2 linked regions of the Mytilus edulis genome follow. Each later gene encodes a partner of the first gene's protein in a complex. Links are inferred from orthologs where the notes say so. Each region holds a gene or a part of one and is shown on either strand. Other genes may lie near its edges. The genes, in order: peregrin-like and inhibitor of growth protein 4-like.

Evidence for each region.
Region 2: peregrin-like (region 1) and inhibitor of growth protein 4-like share a complex: the UniProt entries of both Drosophila melanogaster proteins name them as parts of the enok complex. The link is inferred for Mytilus edulis from reciprocal best matches to the Drosophila melanogaster genes Br140 and Ing5.

What each region holds. Positions count from the first base shown.
Region 1 is NC_092344.1:104,014,599-104,024,793, reverse strand, and holds the start of peregrin-like, read left to right. Parts: upstream 1-5,580; 5' UTR 5,581-5,669; intron 5,670-7,538; 5' UTR 7,539-7,567; coding exon 7,568-8,224; intron 8,225-8,985; coding exon 8,986-9,839; intron 9,840-10,195. UniProt on the Drosophila melanogaster protein: Scaffold subunit of the histone acetyltransferase (HAT) Enok complex which has histone H3 acetyltransferase activity.
Region 2 is NC_092356.1:22,469,070-22,478,717, reverse strand, and holds the start of inhibitor of growth protein 4-like, read left to right. Parts: upstream 1-5,915; 5' UTR 5,916-5,967; coding exon 5,968-6,004; intron 6,005-8,070; coding exon 8,071-8,142; intron 8,143-9,648. Other genes in the region: uncharacterized protein, read right to left, coding at 3,190-4,398. UniProt on the Drosophila melanogaster protein: Component of the Enok complex which has a histone H3 acetyltransferase activity.

The sequences.
Region 1 (10,195 bases):
ACGTGTCCGTTATACATCCATTGGAGGTCTGAAAGATAATTTCCCCAACGGACTTCTACCGGTTGTTTAACGGATAAAACGGATGTTCAACGAATGAGAAACGGACTTCTACCGGACGTATAACGGATCTGAAACGGATAAATGTCAATTGAAAATTTCGCGTCAGAAATGACAATTATCGGTATGTCAGATTTATTAAGGTTCATAAACTTTCATTATTCATAATCGGTCTTAAAGTAAGGGCACGTCTTCACAGTCAAGCTGCTCTTATCCAGGCCATACATTGTCCATTGGCGGCATTTTGAAGAACAAACCAAAACCATGTACACAGAAACATTTTGAATATTAATGCGATTTACATGTATTATTATTGTCGCCTTTAATTTTTCCGTATATCTTAATGGTCCGTTTTATCCGGTACGCTTCCGTTAGGTGTCCGTTTTATGCGGTACTCGTCCGTTGGATGTACGTTCGACATCCGTTCTGTCCGGTACGTTTCCGTTTCTCGTACGTTGCATATCCGGTGTGTGTCCGTTAGGCATTCATTACACGTCCGTTTTATTCGGTCAGTACATCAACGGACTCCCAACGGATAACAATTTTGTCAACGGACAACATTTATTTTCATCCGTTAGGCGTCCGTTCGTGTTATCCGGTAAGGTGTGACCGAGGCTTAATGATTTAATGTCGGTCACTCTACTTCTGATATTGATATAACAACACTCAAATTTTTGTGTAGAGTTGAATATTTGTTAAAAAATTTAATACCCATTACACTTCCCCCTCGTTAACACAAAGTGTGTCTGAAGAAAAGCACTGTTTAATCTTTCAGATATATTATTTCATTTTGGCCCTCATTAGGCGTTTATATGTTACTTGTAACGTCTACCAATTTATGATTTACAAAGAAAATTCGTCTTTAAACGAAAACGAAAAAGTCGATCTAAAATGACAATAAAATAAACCAACTCGAAAATACTTAGCTTTGGTTGACGAAGTCTGATAAAACAGTTGGCGTATATAGAAGAGGATTGCAGGAGTTTGGATTTACATCCATTTGTCCTGTTGGACCATTTAAAAAAGTATCGAAGAGAAAGATCTGATAATATGATTCTATATAGTGAAAGTTATAATATAAAAGCACCACTTAATCCGAGAAAGTACTTAGTCTTTTTTTTTAAATATACAAAATATTACTCCTGTCTAAACCAACTTTAAATTTGTATGATGAAACGGATTAGTAATGAAGAAAACTTTTAATAAAACAAAACCATAACAAAGCAAGAAATGAGATTTAATGATAATTGTCTTAATGTTAAGTATCTAGTTGTAATGTCACTTTGGAACTTTAAAATAGGTCTTGTGATATGTGTTTAATACTGTCTTCATATTTTTTTTAAATGTATCACAGTAAAAGGGAGATAACCACTTTATTTTCGTGTTACGAACTATCGAGACATATGTTTTTCTGCATTTTTTACCAACATTATTAATCAAAACGATTTGTTTGAATAACACACAGGGTCATGAATGCTGATTTTTCCGCTTCTGATTTCCAATAGAAATTAAGCATCATCGACTAATTTGTCACCTAACTAACTTGTGACAAATCCGAAGAAAATATACCTCTCTGCAATCGCGAATGTACCCCTTGTTAGTAAGTTCAAATTGTTACACGTTCTTACAAGTAAATAACATAGAATTCATATTCTATTTGAAGTTTTGTTTGCTCAGGTTTGCAGTATTTTTTCATTTCCTTTTCATCATTTATGATCAATGACCTTCAGATGTTTAACAGTTACTGATTGTCCAGTGGTTAATATTTCACGCACATATCTAGGCCGGCGACTTCAAATTATAGAGAAGTCCAATTAATGGTTTGACGAGCCGGATACTTTGACTTTAATGTCATATCAAAAAGGGTTTTAATTGGATTGTTTGATATAAGAGCAGACATAGTTTTCTTTTCGTTCAGTGGCAAATATATCATGTATGTTCATTTCGAGGTACACCAGTTAATTTTAATTATACATAGATGACCCTGAATACCCCCTCCCTCATAGAGTGATAAACAAAGCAACTAGGAGAGTACGATGATGCAAATCAAAATCAGAGGAGGTCTTTTCTGTTTACGGAAATATAAAATCGTTGTATTGTGATGACGTCAACAAGGATTTATGTCTATTTGCTGTGTAACGAGTAAAATGTAATAACAGGTATATCGCATATCATATTTAAGTTTGAAATGAGATCATTGATCCATATTTGATGTAATTGGGTATATCACGACAGTCTCTTCTCACATCCTTCACTCGTTAATGTGGTAATCAGCAGAATTTAGAGTGCTCTCCAAACGTGTTTATGGTTAGATGATCTCAAATGAAAAATAAGATAATAAAAAACTTCCAAACTTAGATGAAATGTCTCACTGTTTATTAATGAGAAGTGTGGTTACTTTTGACAGATGTGGGTACAAAATCTGCATTCATAATAACCCGAGAATGGAAGAAAACCAAATTCTTAAAAAATACAAGTGGTACACGATTAAAGTCACAAATTCATATATCAATTTACTTGTTAAGAGTTGATAGAAAATTAAAAAAATATCTACGGAAGCGTATCACTATCCATGTTGAAATCCCGCGTCGTTCAAACTATAATTCAATTGCCAATGGTGACAAGCATGTTGTCTGCTCTTTGGTTGGGTTGTTGTCTTTGATAAATTCCCCATTTCCATTCTCAATTTTGGAATTATAACAAGTCTTTGTTTACACACCAAAACGTCCGGTGGCAAATATTACACGAATGTTAGATCGACTCCAAATCGAACAGTATTTGCTTGTATTTCTACTTAATGCCACATTAAAGTTAATTTGAATCGATAGGGTATTGAATCCACGATCGACATCTCGCACTCTAGACTATCACAGTTACTTTGTCAGAACACATGAATTACTCTTGTTGTCTTATCTGTTTTTCTTTGTTTTTGATTACTTTTTACGTTGGTGTCCCTGTTACACAATAACTTGACTCACAATATTATGGAATGTTAGCTATGATTTTTTTTAATAAGATATCATTTGGGACAACTTTATGTATATACGTTCAAATATATGACAACTTTACGACAGACATGCTTCTCCATCGGATAACTCGTGGAATACCATAATTTATATATAATTCGTCTCGACTGTGACCAAAAATGTTTCACATCCAAACTTGCGTTAGTAGCAATTTATGTTCTTCTCTCGTGTTGCTCAGTTTTTAGTTTTCTATTTTGTGTTTTATGTACTATTTTTTGTCTGTTTATCTTTGCTTTTTTTAGTCATGTCGTTATCAGTATATTTCCCACTTTTGCGTTTGAATATCCTTTTGGTTTCCGTTTCACCACTCTTTGGCAGCATACTCGTTTCGTTTGATGCATGAAAGTGGTTTAAATGACGATCGCATTCCAAGAGAACAAACACTAACACACGGGCATCTTCTTAAGTGATGCATGTGTCCTATTATTTTTATGTGAGACAGAATTCATAAATGTTTTTTTTCTTCATGAGAATGAAAAAAAAAGCTATTGCAGGTATATCCTTTAACTTCACTTTTCGTATATATGGATGATGTTTTCTCACTAGTAATCCGTCCAACCGAACTTGAAACAAAGCATTCCACACACGTAGTTAGGTCCACATCATCTATTGACTAGCATCGAGAAAATGTCATGTCAGTAACGGTCAGTTGCGAACTAAATTGCACGACAAAGAGATAACTAGTATTTCAATTTATCCTTTGTCATTTTCATTTCCCAATTTCATGAATCTATATCAATATCTCCATGTTGATACATTATTCCAGGGCGTTAGTTTCTTGGTTGAACCAGAAACTGCTTAGAATTCAAGAGCATCTTAGTGCAACTGCGGTGTTTGGTGGGGTTTGTGTTGCTCAATCTTTGTTTTCCGTGTTGTGTTGTGTTTTGTAGACTTTAGATTTCTGTTCGGACCTTTCATTTTAGCCATAAGCTTTTATGTCTTTTTTCGATTTCTATTTACAGCCGATTTCATTGAGTGTGTAGACAAGGCTATATCTGTGGTTAACTTGTTTGTTAGCTGAACTGTGAAGTCATTATATTATGTCAGGTATACTACCTCTAACTTACGCACTAAGAGATTCATATTGCCATATGAGTTTATAAAGCTGCAGTCCCAAACAGAAGCTGAAGATCATGTGTACATTTTATTTTGATTATGTGTTCCTATGCAAACCAATCTACAATTTCAAGACACCAACACTTAATTGTTGTAAAATTATCTATACAGCAATATCAGCTGACATCTGAACTATATAAACCTCGAAAGGCAAGGTGCTAGTAGTTGTGACATAAAGAGATATATATAGAAGCACCACAAAAAAAATCCCCCAAAAAACCCTTGTTTTGCACATCGTTAATGTGTCTAAGCCAATTGTACATGCTTTCAATAATGTGAAATGAAACAGGTTAACTAAAGAATTACTTTCACACTCCATAACACCAGCCCTGCCAAACTTGGCGGCTCAGACGATGGAAATGTGAAGCCGGCGTTGACAGATAGACGGACGGACCGACCGACGGACGCAAAGTGAGACGAGACAGATCACAATAGCCCCATAACCAAAGATAGTATTAGATTTTGCAAACGAAAATTTCCAATTTAAATTGTCCTTATATTATATCTGGGTTTTTTTTGTTATTATTTTCGGAGGTCGTGTCACACTTTATATATACTGTATTCGCTAAAACTAGAATGTGAAGCATAATTTACGAAGTTATGTTTATTTTCTTGGGATCCCATGCATGTACGTAATACGGTACATATATATAATAATTCTGCAAAAATTTTAGGTTGCAAATGAGAAATGTATATAGACATAGACCGGAGATTAAAATTAATAAACTAACTGTTCGCTTGAAACAGTGTTCTATCTTTCATTTAGGATATTAAGAAAGAATCTAACTTGGACTGTTTTCTTGGCCGTGCCATGATAAAATTGTGAAAGTGAGTAAGGGATGGCAGTTTGGAAGTTCGATTATCAAAGAAAATCAAATTGATTATAAAAACCGCAAATACAATGTTACAATTGTTTTACTTTAACTGCTAAAAACGGCCTATAATATGTGTCTTCAAACGAAGGACTGCGTTTGACACCTTCCTTTGAAGTGTATAATATGACCCCTAATATGGACTTCTGATAATATTTATAGAAACTTTAAAATCAAAGTCGTAGGTCAGTTGATCCTAAATCTACCCCTGAATACATGGATTAATGATGTCCATGGTCACATGATCAGTGCCGGCCGGGTCTCATACATAGATAAAATCATATACATATAATGAGAAGGGGATATGGGGTCCACTAATTAACATGTTAACAACACCTCGATTTTGGCAAAAACAGTTACCCCCCCCCCCCCCCCCCCCCCTTTTCCAAAAAACAATAATTTGTATATTACTGTAATATACATGTATATACGATGATATTAAAGAATCGTTGCAATCATTGTGATTCTTATGATCTATGATTTTTTTTTATAAAATTCCCGCTTTAAACTTTTAGGAAATATGAAAAACGGAAATGGGCTGCGCAACATCATATGCGCATATGCTTGCTTGGCCAAACGAAGAGGACGCACTGTTGAGGTTTGTTATTTCACTTATTTTCACATAGCATACACAATGATACCAACGCAGACATAAATGTTCTGGTTGAAAATGAACAAAGGAAACAATTCGTATCAGTTTTATATTGTAAATTTTCAGTAATTCATCGAAATTTAATCAATTCACCGATTTCATTGTCTGCCCACAATCGATCCATGAGCTGCGGCGTCGGTGTCGATTTGACTTGTTGTAACAGGCTGTTGTTGGCTGCATATCAGATAATGTATAATGTTAATATAGACGTAATTTATTCTCATCGTTGTGAATTATGAGGTAGATATCGCAAAACTGCTTACAATTTGGTTTTAAGTTGTAGTCCCGAAACCGGAAACTGGTTCAACTTTTTTGTTTACATCTGTAAAAAGAAGGACGTAGTCAAATTTCTTATGATATTGATGACTTCATTTATAACCTTATCTTTTCCCCTCTTTTTTGCAAGTTAAGAAGCTTGACTATGAGTTTCAAAAATTACTTCTGTTCATATACATTGTATATGACATATAAATATAAAACATTTAAATGGCAATGTTAATAATAATAAATAAATAATAATAAATAAGCTTTATTTAGAGTCGGCATGGTATATAAAACATAGACAAACATAAGCTCTAATGAGCTTTTAACCGACATGGACAAATCATAACAAATTTAAATTTGGTACAAATGATGGACACGATGAAATAGTTTTGCTGGGTGAATCTGAGTTGTTCACATTAGTTATTTAACAATCATTGGTTTTTAACAATAATATGATATGTTAACTTTTTCATTTAGATTTGGTATGGAAAAATGAATAAAAATAGAAATCCTTGAGTGTCAATGAGTTACGATGCAGTCCATACACCGTATAGCTTTTGTCTGCCATTACTGGACATCACACAACTTCCCCGTAATATAATGTTATTAAAATTTGCTGTTACAAAATGATAGAAATTATTATAAATTAAGGAATGTATCTCCCTCATGCAAAGCTCTGATTCCTTTCACGGATTTGGCTATACTTTTTGGACCTTTTGGATTATAGCTCTTCATCTTTTATATAAGCTTTGGATTTCAAATATTTTGGCCACGAGCATCACTGAAGAGACATGTATTGTCGAAATGCGCATCTGGTGCAAGAAAATTGATACCGTTAATTTTATTTGATGTCTTAAAATAGAAAATATTTGATGTCACAATGAAAAAGTGATTGTTGTATGATAACTGATGTCAAAAGTTTTAGTGGAACAGATTTTCAAATTTGGAAAAAGCCTTCATGAATCAGTTCTTTTTTGGTTAAAATTTTCTTGCTTTCCTATTGAAAAAAAGGTGACCATGTCTGACAATGTTACACAAAAAGAACACATCTTTTTGCAGGTCTTTCAAAAAGAAGGATTAATATTGTCTGCATAAGAGAAAGATATTACAACACCAAAACTCATGCAATACAATATTTATCAACTCTCAACAGTTAAAATTTTAGATGCACAACAAGCCTCACGTTTTGCATTTGAAATTTAAATGTTGTAAGTGGATAAATAATTGTATCACACTTCTTGATACAGTGGTAGAATCTACAATGTATATTTACTGTGACACAAAGTATTACAATGTATACTTAAGGACCCTGCTAAACCATTTTCCTGCTTCATTGATAAAACAAAACATTTAGCTATATAACAATGTAGGCTTTAGAATAACTGTATCTGGATTGTAAAATAAATGATTAAAACACTTTTCACAGAGTGAAATTTCAGCCAGACTTGAGCAAATATTTGACAAACTCTGAAATAACTGTAATCTAGTAATTGGCATGCACAGAAGATTTTTATAATTACCATACATAATTGTATATTTTCTTTATTTTAGACTTGAAATGGTGTAGGAATTTCATCAGAATGGTGTATGATTTTGATGTCAGAGATTTTTGTCAAAACTTGAAGGCCACTAAACCACCTTATGAATGTCCGGTTAAAGACTGTGGTAAAGTGTATAAAAGTTATTGTGGTATTCAGTTTCATCTTTATAATTATGATCATGATAACCCAGAGAATAACAGTCCTACTCCAACTGGTAAAAAACCTGGTAAGAAGAAGGGAAGATGGGGCCATCACAGATCAATGCGTAGATCTCCCACTCCACCAGAATTTGTTAAACCAGCTCCAAGACTGGAGACTCTAACCTATGCTGAATCACAAAGACTGGTGGAAATTGATGTTGATGGTAGGATTCATAGGATAAATATATATGAGCCTTTGGAAATTATATCTCAAGATCAGATCGATAACCAGAGTAATAAAGAAAAGGAAGAGAAAGCAGAGAAAGTCCCCAAAGTAACTAAGCAGCATACAGATAAGAACAAAACTAAAAACAAAGAAACACCAGCACCTGCTGATAGAAACAATGACGGTAAATTACCAGAGGCACAGTTTAAGATTGTAGACAATTATATCAAGCCAACTAATCCTAAACCAAGGCCAAACTCATATTATCGTTATATTGAAAAATCTACAGATGAGTTGGATGATGAAGTGGAGTATGATATGGATGAAGAGGTGAGTAAACTTTCTAGACAAGAAAATTTACTATCTGAGGTCATTAACAATTTATAAGAGATATTGCAATAACAAAGATGTACATATGATTTTGATGAAATAGTATCTTAGAATAAAGAATTATGCATCTATATCTGCTATCTACATGTATATTTATCATCTTTCCCTAATTTGTACCTACAATGTATAATTGTCTACCTTATATTTTACTTTTACTCAGGTTCTACAAAAGAAGGTGTGGTATGATTGCCAATGAAACAACTCTTCACAAGAGACCAAATGACACAGAAATTAACATATTATGTCACCGTACAGCCTTCAACAATGAGCAAAGCCCATGCCACATAGTCAGCTTTAAAAGGCCCCAAAATGTAAAACAATTCAAACAAATGGCCTAATTTATGTAAAAATAATGAAAGTAAACAAATATGTAACATAGCAACAAACAACAACCACTGAATTACAGGCTCCTGAGTCCTGAACTATATACGCTACATATATGCAGTTTGAGCTCATGTACATGTACATATGTAGCTTTATCTTGCTATATATATTCATGATCAATATTAGCTCAATCAAGCTACAAAATGTATTAAAAAATTGTCTCCCATTGAAAATTTTGAATAAAATTTCAGTTTGTCACTTACATGTACATGTAGTTATCAAGTTATATTGGCCCATTCATTCAACCCATGTAAATTTTATTGAAAAATTGCTGTAAAGTAAACATCAATGCTTAGGATATTTTATATTTTTTTCAGGATCATGCATGGTTGGAACTGTTGAACAAAAAGAGAGAAACAGATGGACTTACTCTGGTAAATCAAGCAGATTTTGAACTTTTAATGGACAGATTTGAAAAAGAAGCATTTTTCCAAAGTCAGTCCTCCGGAAAGGATATTGGTCCTCCTATTGATGAAGATGCTGTTTGTAGTATTTGTATGGATGGTGAATGTCAAAATAGTAATGTGATTTTATTTTGTGACATGTGTAACTTGGCTGTGCACCAGGAATGTTATGGTGTTCCATATATTCCTGAAGGACAATGGTTGTGTAGGCGGTGTCTTCAGTCTCCCTCTCGAGCAGTTGATTGTTGTCTATGTCCAAATAAGGGCGGTGCTTTCAAACAAACTGATGATGGAAAATGGGCTCATGTGGTATGTGCATTATGGATACCTGAAGTAGGGTTTGCAAACACAGTGTTTTTAGAGCCCATAGATAGTATGGAGAGAATTCCTCCTGCACGATGGCGGTTATCATGTTATATTTGTAAACAGAGAGGGACTGGGGCATGCATTCAGTGCCACAAAACAAACTGTTATACTGCATTTCATGTGACTTGTGCTCAGCAGGCAGGCCTTTATATGAAAATAGAACCTGTAAAAGAGCCTAGTGGTTTAACTGTGACTGTTCGTAAAACAGCCTATTGTGATGTTCATGCACCAGCTGACTCAGACTGTACACCTATGTTAAATGATAGTACTACATCAGAGGAGGAAAAATCAGCAGATGCTAAAGAAAAATCTCGATTAAAAATGAGAAAAGCAAGAAAAATCCTAGCTGAGAAAAGAAATGCCATGCCAGTTGTTTCTATTCCAATAATTCCACAGCTCAGGTATGGTTGCATAAAATCATTATTTACATGGCATAATTTAATGTTGTGCATGCTCACTTCTAAAAAATGTCAGATCAAAATCAAGTCTGTGTTAGAGTTTCCTGCCCAAACCTAATTCTTCTCTGAGAACTGTTATTCCTATCATCAAGATTTAACGGGAAATCAGAATTTAAATGCCTTATTGCACAGTGTAATGATTTAAGGCCGAGAAAAAAAAAATCGATATTTCCGGTAACCCGAACGACCCTGTTTTTTTAGCCCCGACCCTAACTTTTTTATTGGATCTTCAAAAAAAAAAAAAAATTGTATCAACCGACCCCGTTTTTGACACAGGCTTCTGATAGATGACATAATAT
Region 2 (9,648 bases), on another chromosome or scaffold:
TGTTTTACCCGTTATCAGTATATCATCTACTCGAACCAAAACATTGGCTATACCTTGAACTACATTTTCAAGTGTTCTTTGAAAAATACCTGGGCTGGACGCTACACCATAAGGAAGTCTATTGTATCTGAATAAACCCTTATGTGTGTTTATAGTCACATACCTCTTACTGTCCTCATCAAGTTCAATCTGTTGATATGCTTGATTTAAATCCAATTTTGTATATTCTTGTCCTCCTCCAAGCGTTGCGTATAAATCATCAGTTTTAGGAATAGGATAATTATCCAACTTTGAAACGGCATTAACGGTTACCTTGTAGTCACCACAAATTCTAATAGATCCGTTCTCCTTAACTACAGGTACTATCGGAGCGGCCCAGTCGGAAAATTCCACTTGCTGAATCTGACCCTCCTTCTCAAGACGTTCAAGTTCCATCTCCACTTTATCCTTCAACGCATACGGCAAAGGGCGAGCCTTGAAATATTTCGGTACGGCACTCTCATCGACATAAATTTTTGCTTTCATGCCTTTTACAGTTCCAAGTTCATCTTTGAAAACCTCCTTATTTGCTTCCAAGATCACATTTAAATCCCTCGATTGATTGTCACTTCCAACGACGGAGAAAATATCCTTCCAATCCAGTTGGAGTTTGTTCAACCAGTCTCACGGGTGTCATTCGGTTTATCGAGAGAAATGATCGTGAAAGAATATCTGACGGCGGTCAAGTATTGAGAGACGATCGTGAAAGTTCTGGTAACGGATCGTGAAAGACATTTAATCGAGAAGACATATGAAACGTTAGTAAATATTCTAATTTATTTAATTACACAGACACATTTGCGACAAAATAAAACTGTCTGTCAAAATGGTTCAACATTATGATCAGTATGTCAGAATATCCAGTTTCAAAAGTACATAGTTATTACAAAACGACAAAAGGCATATTGCTTCTCGACATTTCAATGACATAAAAAATGTAAACAAACACGATTTTTTCACAAATTCGACTAGATAAACTACGTTTATCAGAATAAGGGTATTGTATTTAAATTAATTAAACGGTTCTCATAGTTATTTTGTATAAATATAATCTGAAACTTGGTAAATAAAGAACTATTTACACAAAATTGATTTTTTGGATCGTGAAAGATCACGTACCGCATTTTTGAAGATCGTGAAAAGGATCGTGAAAGATCTGATGCTACGAAGACGTTCAAATTATTCTTCCATTATATGATAATTGATATTTGTTATTGGTATTGAGAAAGGCTAGATAGGTCAACACCTTCAATATAAAAAATATTTGTTAAGCCAAACAAGTAGAAAGTTGAAGAGCATGGAGGATCAAAAATTCCAAAAAGTTACATACCAAATACGACTATGGTAATCCTTAGTTTTTCGAAAAATTCAAACGCAATGGCATCGCCCCAGTGGTATAAATAGTTATCAAAAGGTACTAGGATTATAATTTAGTACGCCAGACGCGCAAATACACTAAAATTATTATTTGGGCATTTGTGAATATGTTGTTTGTAAAATAGTTGGATGATTGTAGGATGAAGTTTTTTTTATTGTCATGTGAAGTACTCACTTATCATGAGTTATAGGATACCCATATTTTGTATATTGGATCCTATAAACTTAATGTCCGTCAGACAGGATTCACCTGACCCTGAATTTGCCTCATTTCATGGATGAAGATTCATTTTAGTGGTCATGTCCGTATCGAGGATTCGTTAAGCTTTAGGATAACTGTCTGTTGTTATGATTGTAAGGTGTATATTTTCGACTTGTGCAAGGTTTCAACTAACATTGAACTCATTATCCTGCATCATTCGGCAATGTTTGTCTTAATATATGTTGTTGGGCTTTTTGAATGTATACCTGTATGCTATAGCGACAAGGTGTGTCGTGTATGGTGTACATGTCTGTGTGCATGTTTCTTATATGACCATGATGACTTCAATTGTGTTTGATTTATTAAATGATAGTAAGATGTCTATGTCTGGCTGACGGTCAGGGTTCATATACTTTTGACCTTATGTTCCGAATTAATTGGCCAAGCATAACTTTTACATTTGTCAGTTTTTAAGGCACTGTAAGGAGCGGAAACACATTTATTTGGCGTACGGGATATTTGTAGAGATCTGTATGGCATGGTTCATTTGACCTTGACCTTTTTTATGAAATATTGACAATCTTAAGCGCATTTGACACTTCTAGTAAAACCCTTGATATTATAGACGTTCAACAAATATACTATCATAAGTAAAGCAAACAAGACATTACAGCATTTGCGCTTTGGTATTCTATAGTATGTACTATATAGTTAAATCAATCCTTATCTGCGTTGTTTATAAAAGTTCTGTTGCGCAAAATGTTGGTTATCGTTCAATCCAAAATTACACATGAAATGTGCTGTTTTTGCTATGATTTTTTGTTTGATGGATAACATTTTGGTTTAAACGTTGCATATCCATATTATTGGCTAACTAGTGTCGGTCTGCCTGAAGTGCACTAGACCGATTCACAGAGCTGAATCTTTCACACTTATTAAGACACGTTATTAGTTTTGGTTTTTTTTTAACTTTCGAGGTAAAGTGTTGAATAGAAAAAAAGATAATAGCTTTAATATTCATCCTTATCAAAATAGTTACAGGCTTCAACCACTTGCAGATTTATCAAATGGTAAAAGAAATACTGATTTCTGATTACTAGTATTAAGTCTGGTCACGCATTTTCTTTCACGATCGAAATAATACGTTGCCTGATCTTTCACGATCAAGTTTGATGGAAATTCAACAAATTCAAGGTTTTCATAAACAAATTAACGCTTTTAATGGAAGAACATACTTTAATTTTACTGTACTATCAGATACACCAAAGATTAAATTTCAAATATATCATGATATTCTGAAATATGACCATTATAGGTACAAAAAGCGTTTTATTTGTAATTAATTTCATAGACACGCATTGCGCCTTTTGTGTTTTTTCAAAAAGTACTTCATATTTTCTTTATCTTCTTTCACAGTTATGTTGAGGAAGTTAAACCATTTTGACAGAAATATTTTTTTGTTCGGATTTGTTCCGCTTTTTGAAAATTAAGCGATTTTTTCAAAGATTCTGAACTAGAATGTACATTAAATGTCTTTCACGATCCGTTACCAAAACTTTCACGATCGTCTCTCAATACTTGACCGCCGTTAGATATTCTTTCACGATCATTTCTCTCGATAAACCGAATGACACCCGTGAGTCTCGGCCTAGTAAATTCGGACCTTTACGCTTCACTATCAGTAATGGTAATTTTGCACTTTCCTTCTTGTAGTTGACATTGACGATTGCACGTCCTATTATAGGAATCTGCTCTCCCATGTATGTTCGGAGTTTAGCACTTGTCGGTTCGATTTTGAATTTCGACTTGTATTCCTTGTAAGTATCCTCGCTCATGATAGAAACGGACGCTCCGGTATCTATTTCCATGGCTATTTCACATTCATTTACATTGATTTGCACTTTATATGCCTCATTAGTTTTATTTCCAAAATGAAAAACTGAGTAAACTTCATTTTCACTTTCACTTTCGCTACTTTCATCCTGCTCCATGAAATGAGCACGTGGTTTGAAACGTGATTTAAACTCTCTGTGGTTTTCACTTAAATTCCCATTGGTAGATTTGTTACGGCATTTCTTTGCGATATGTCCTTTCTTTTTACAGCTGTGGCATTTTGCATCCTTAAACCTGCATTCAGCGGCTAAGTGATTTCCTCCACACCGGTAACAATCTCCTTGTTTCGAATTTCCAGAGTTGTTTCTTGTATATGATTTTGAAACTTTATTGATTTGTTTCTGAAATGTTCCATTTGTCCCACTCGCTTGGATGTCCTGTGCATTCTTCTCTGCAGTCTCCATAGCGGTAGCAATTTCCAATGCCTTATCAAATGTTAAATTCGGCTCTGCTAGCAGCCTCCTCTGTATGCGGTCACTCTTTATCCCGACGACTAACCTGTCACGTAACATCGCATTCAACGTGTCACCATAATTACAGTGTTCTGTCAGACTTCGTAGTGCTGCAATAAATGTCCTAACTGACTCATCACTGTGTCTTGTTCTACTGTTAAATTTAAATCTCTGAATGATTTCTGATGGTACTGGATCTCGGTGGTCTTTCACTAGTTTTGTTAAATCGGCCAATGATTTCGTTCCTGGTTTGGCTGGTGCTAATAAATCCCTTATTAATTTGTAGATATTCTTCCCACATACACTTAAGAAAATATCCCTTTTCTGGTCTTCTTCGTCTATCTCATTAGCATTAAAATAATGTTCCATACGTTCTACATATTGTGTCCAATCTTCGGATTCATCAAAAGAGTCTAATTTCCCGTAAGTCGGCATTGTCACTTGTAGAAATTCACATTTATTTTAATATCCAGTTTTTTCCTCGTCGCCAAAATGTGTAATATCTTTGATAGGTAATAATACAATCCAGTTTCTATAACTAATTTATTAACAAGTACATCGTTTGATGGTCAGACTACAGAATGACAACATGTGTATAAGAACTTCAATTGATCTATTTAATTACATGTTTATTTAAGAATGGGCAGACATGTGAGAGTTGCTGATTTGTCAATTATAATTACTGTAACAGATGATACGGTAATAAAGTGAGGTGAACTTTATAACAATTTTTAAAATATATTTATTTTTCTTCTAAAATATTTATAAAAATGTTGATTTTCAAATCTGTGTAAAATCAATGTTTAAATATCCTGCCAGTGATGAAAATAGTGTTAAGCAAAACTACATCATAAAACAGACACGACGGACACTATTAATAGTTGTTTGCTATGAATTTCAAATGGACACATGACTTTAACATTTGCAATTGTTACAAAACCAATTCTTTGCCTTTGGAAGTTGTTTTAGTCTAGCACAAGATAAATGTTGCCACTCCAAACAGGAACTACACATTACACTGGCTTCCTCTGAATCTTCATCATGTGTGTATATGTTACATATATGTCTGACAGGGGCAGATCCAGCCATTTTGAAAAGGGGGGTTCCTAACCCAGGACAAAAGGGGGGGGGGAGTTCCAATTACATGTCCCCATTCAAATGCATTGATCGTCCAAAAAAAAGGGGGGTTCCAACCCCCGGAACCCCCCCCCCCCCTTCTGGATCCGCGCCTGTATGTAGATAGTGAGGTAGATAGGGTTCTTTGAATGACTCGATCGATACTCTGTGTAACCCACCTCATCATTGCTCATCGTAACTCCTAAATTAAAAAATAACGGTGGCAATATCTTTTGCATAATAAGTCCGTTCACAGTTCAGAGTTCAAGTTCAAATTCTGTTTCATATCTATACCCTTTCAAACATCAATACTATATGCATAATATAGTAAAAAAAGGGGGATATCATGTTTAGAAATTGGGTCATGAATTGTTACGCGTATATACACTGAGTAGTCCAGTTGAGAAGGGTAATGATGAAGTTTGTTCGAGGCTGTCAATAATACGGAATTATATACCTTCGTAACATCAAAGTTCAAATTGCATACTATTCGATTTCCTTTCCACAATTTCACAATGTCCATGGGATTTTATATGCATGATGGTTTTTTTATGATATTGATATTCCCATGAGTCTTAGATGGGCCTTTAAATTTATTTTTTGTCGAAAAAAATGCTTTCTGTCAAAATTTCTAGTTTCGTTCGTCTATCTCTGAGTTGGGATATATCGCATTTTCCTCTCTATTCTGTAAAACTCCACCAGACCCTCATGCATTTTGTCTAGCTACGTAATTCCCAAAATAACTAATCTGACATTTATAACCTTTAACCTTTAATATATAAACTGATTCAGAGAAATGTTTTAAAGCAAAACAAATAGCAAACCGGAAATATGCTCATCATTGACACAGATTGTCACGTGATTCAATTAAACCCAAAAACCTCCAAAATGGCAACTGCGATGTATCTCGAACACTATTTAGATAGTGAGTTTAAGTTACAGATATATATGACAAATTATATGAGTAAAATGACCTTCCTCAGCAATCTCCCCATTCATATTTATATGATCAGGTGGCATATAGTGTAGATACAAACGATGTCTCTTGAAGGAATGAGCGGCTCAGCTCGAAATATTTTTTTGGCGCAATTTTATAAATTTTCAAATGAATGTTTACACAAGTCAGAGGCAGTACTTAGTCACGGTAGTTGGTAATCTTAACTTGATAGCATTATCTTAACATGAAATAGATATTCCCATCTTGCTAACAAAGTCATCACTCTTGCTTGCTACATTTCCTGTTTCTAATATTGAAAGTGAAACTTCTACTGACTGAAATTGCCTAATTGGTATGGAACCCGGAGAGCATGATTCATCTTGCAAAATTGCATGTATCCACAGAGACTTGAACCCTGGACCACTGTGTTACAAAGCACCACGTTAACTGACTGAGCAGGGGTTTCATTATTTTTCATGTTGACTGGTACTTTCCACATTTCTAGGTGGTACTTTTCAATTTATTCCATGAATTTCTTATATAAAAATTCCTACATTTAGGCGGTACTTGTCAATAGCATAGGAGGGTAAAAGTACCGGGTACCGCCTCCTAATGAATGGCCTGACTGAGCTAAAGAAGTACATTTTTGTGTACTTCCTTACCTCAACTGCTTACTGTATGTCAAACATAAGTGTGGGTTTGTTGTGTGGCGGTTCTATCCTGACTCTGGGCGCTGGAAATTTTAGAACTTCACAAGGGTAACTCTCAGGCCAAATAAAAATATATGTGTGGTTCCAGTAACCCGACCGACCCTAGTTAAAACCGACCCTAGAACTTTTTTTTCATTTCTCAAAAATAAATTTTCAAACGATCAAATTTTGAGGATTATGAATTAAAATAATTAAATTCATAGATTTCTGTCATCTGAATTTCCATCACAAGTATCTGTTATGGCTAAAATGCAAGAATTCATAACAGAATGCAACAAAATTAACTAAAAACGTATCATGGCTGTTTATTTTACAACCACACACATGTAAAAATGTCGGACTTCTGGTTGGGGCGTGTATAATAAGGGAAACAATTTCGGTAAACACACGATTCTTTTCCGGATTTTGACATTAAAAAAAAAAAAGAAAAAAAAAATTGCTGACCTACCGACCCTATTTTTTAAAAGTATGTAACTGGAACCACACATATATTTTTATTTGGCCTCACCCTCCCGCACAATTCTCTGGTACCCAGATTGGAGTTTAAACAAGAATAGGTTTATTGGGGGCTTTGGTTGGTCAATGTTGCCCCTTACTTTGACCTAAGGATCCATCTTAAATTCTTTTGACATCTCTCAGGTTTGTCTGTTTCAGCCAAGCATCCCGATGGGATATCTCCTAGTACTTCAGCTTGCTCCACCATGATAACAGACTCTTAGTGATCTAGCACACCCCATGTGTAGGGGTGGGGATTGTCCTTGTAAACAATTGTAAATATAGGTTAGTCAGTCTTCACGCTGAGTGGCAGTCCAGGCTAGTAAAATTGCTCTTGGGCCTGTAAAAATCATATCTACAGGCTAACAGAAACTAACTAAAAAAATTCAAAAATTGAGCTCCGGGCCTGTAGTTTAAAAGTTCGTCGTGAAGACTGGTTAGTGACACATCTCCATTGATCCCAATAAGGAGTGTATTGGATTCAACTGTCTGTACCCTTTAACTCTTGTGGGGTTCTTCGGTAAAAGGAGGAATTTTATCAGTACTTGCAAACATTGTATTATCTATCGGGGATTTTTTAAGGGCTTGCTGTGTCCAGATCTGTAGTATGCAAGAGTGCATGTAAAATCTATAACATGACAATACTTATGCCAGTGAGGTTTTGACTTTTACAATGAGCTAAAACCACACTGCATAGTTAACTATTACATAGAAAGTACCTGAAATATCAAACGTAAAAACAATCCCAACAACAATAACTAATTGCCTGATTTATGAACTAAACAATAACAGAAAACAACTGAATTACATTCATTTGTGTATAACATTCATATTTTTTTTCTTTTATAGGTTTGGAGACTTTACCGAGTGAACTCCAAAGAAACTTTAATTTAATGAGAGACTTGGATCAAAGGGCACAAGGTAAAATGGAATATCTGATCTTTATTATAAGAGCTAGAACACACTCAGGGTCTTGATTGAATCAATGTACTTGTACCTTAATGCCTTATTTTAAAGTATTTGTATTTTCATCTGATAAAAGTCATACTGATTACATACTCGATAAGGTTTTTTCAAGGCGAGTCCAGGGACTCATCATTTTTGGCCATGATGAGTCCAAAAGCAAGAAGAAAATATTTTATTGAAATATATATAACTTTTGCTATAAAATGATGATATTTTTGTTAAACTGTGTTCAGTTTAGTATACAAAATATTTCAATTTTGATGCATATGTGGACTCACCAGTTTTGAAAATGGTGAGTCCAGACAGATTTTTAGGAGTGTTTACTTGGCTTTCTAAATCTTTCTGTTTGAACCTACAATATAGCCTTGAAACTACTTAGGCCCTTGTGAAAATTATTAAGCCTCGGCAGGCAGGAAAAACTTTGTATTTTATTTTATTTTTTTGTGAAAAATCAGTTTCGTTCTACAGAGAATTTTGTTGTTAACCTGTAATTAATGTTTGTTTCACATTGTATATTGTGGTATAATCTACATGTATGTGAAACTGAAGGAATGAGCCATGTTGAAACACTTTTAAGAGATTATCAGACATTTTTAAAAAGCATCAATGATAATTGTCAACAACTCATCTGCAAAAAAAAAGAAAAAAAGAATTGACACGGAGGGTTAAAACAGATCGGCAGGGTTGGGGGAAACATACAATCCTTTTTGCATGGCCTTATGACATATTCTTTTGGTATCAGTATTGGATTCAACCCGGAACTTGTTGATTATTGGTAATATTAATTATTCAGAAGACAAAAGGTTCTGAAATGGTGTAATTTTTAATCCACACCGGGTACCTTTGTCCTATAATAGTTAACCATGAAGTTGAATTCTTTGATTCATCAATTTTTATACGACCGCAAAAATTTTAATTTTTCGTCATATATTGCTATCACGTTGGCGTCGTCGTCGTGCGAATACTTTTAGTTTTCGCACTCTAACTTTAGTTTAAGTGAATAGAAATCTATGAAATTTTAACACAAGGTTTATAACCACAAAAAGAAGGTTGGGATTGATTGTGGGAGTTTTGGTCCCAAAATTTTAGGAATTAGGGGCCAAAAAGGGCCCAAATAAGCATTTTCTTGGTATTCGCACTATAACTTTAGTTTAAGTAAATAGAAATCTATGAAATTTTTACACAAGGTTTATGACCACAAAAGGAAGGTTGGGATTGATTTTAGGAGTTTTAGTTCAAACAGTTTAGGAATTAGGGGCCAAAAAAGGGCCCTAATAAGCATTATTCTTGGTTTTCGCACAATAACTTCAGTATAAGTAAATAGAAATCAATGAAATTTAAACACAAGGTTTATGACCACAAAAGGAAGGTTGGGATTGATTTTGGGAGTTAAGGTCTGAACAGTTTAGGAATTAGGGGCCAAAAAGGGGCCCAAGTAAGCATTATTCTTGGTTTTCGCAC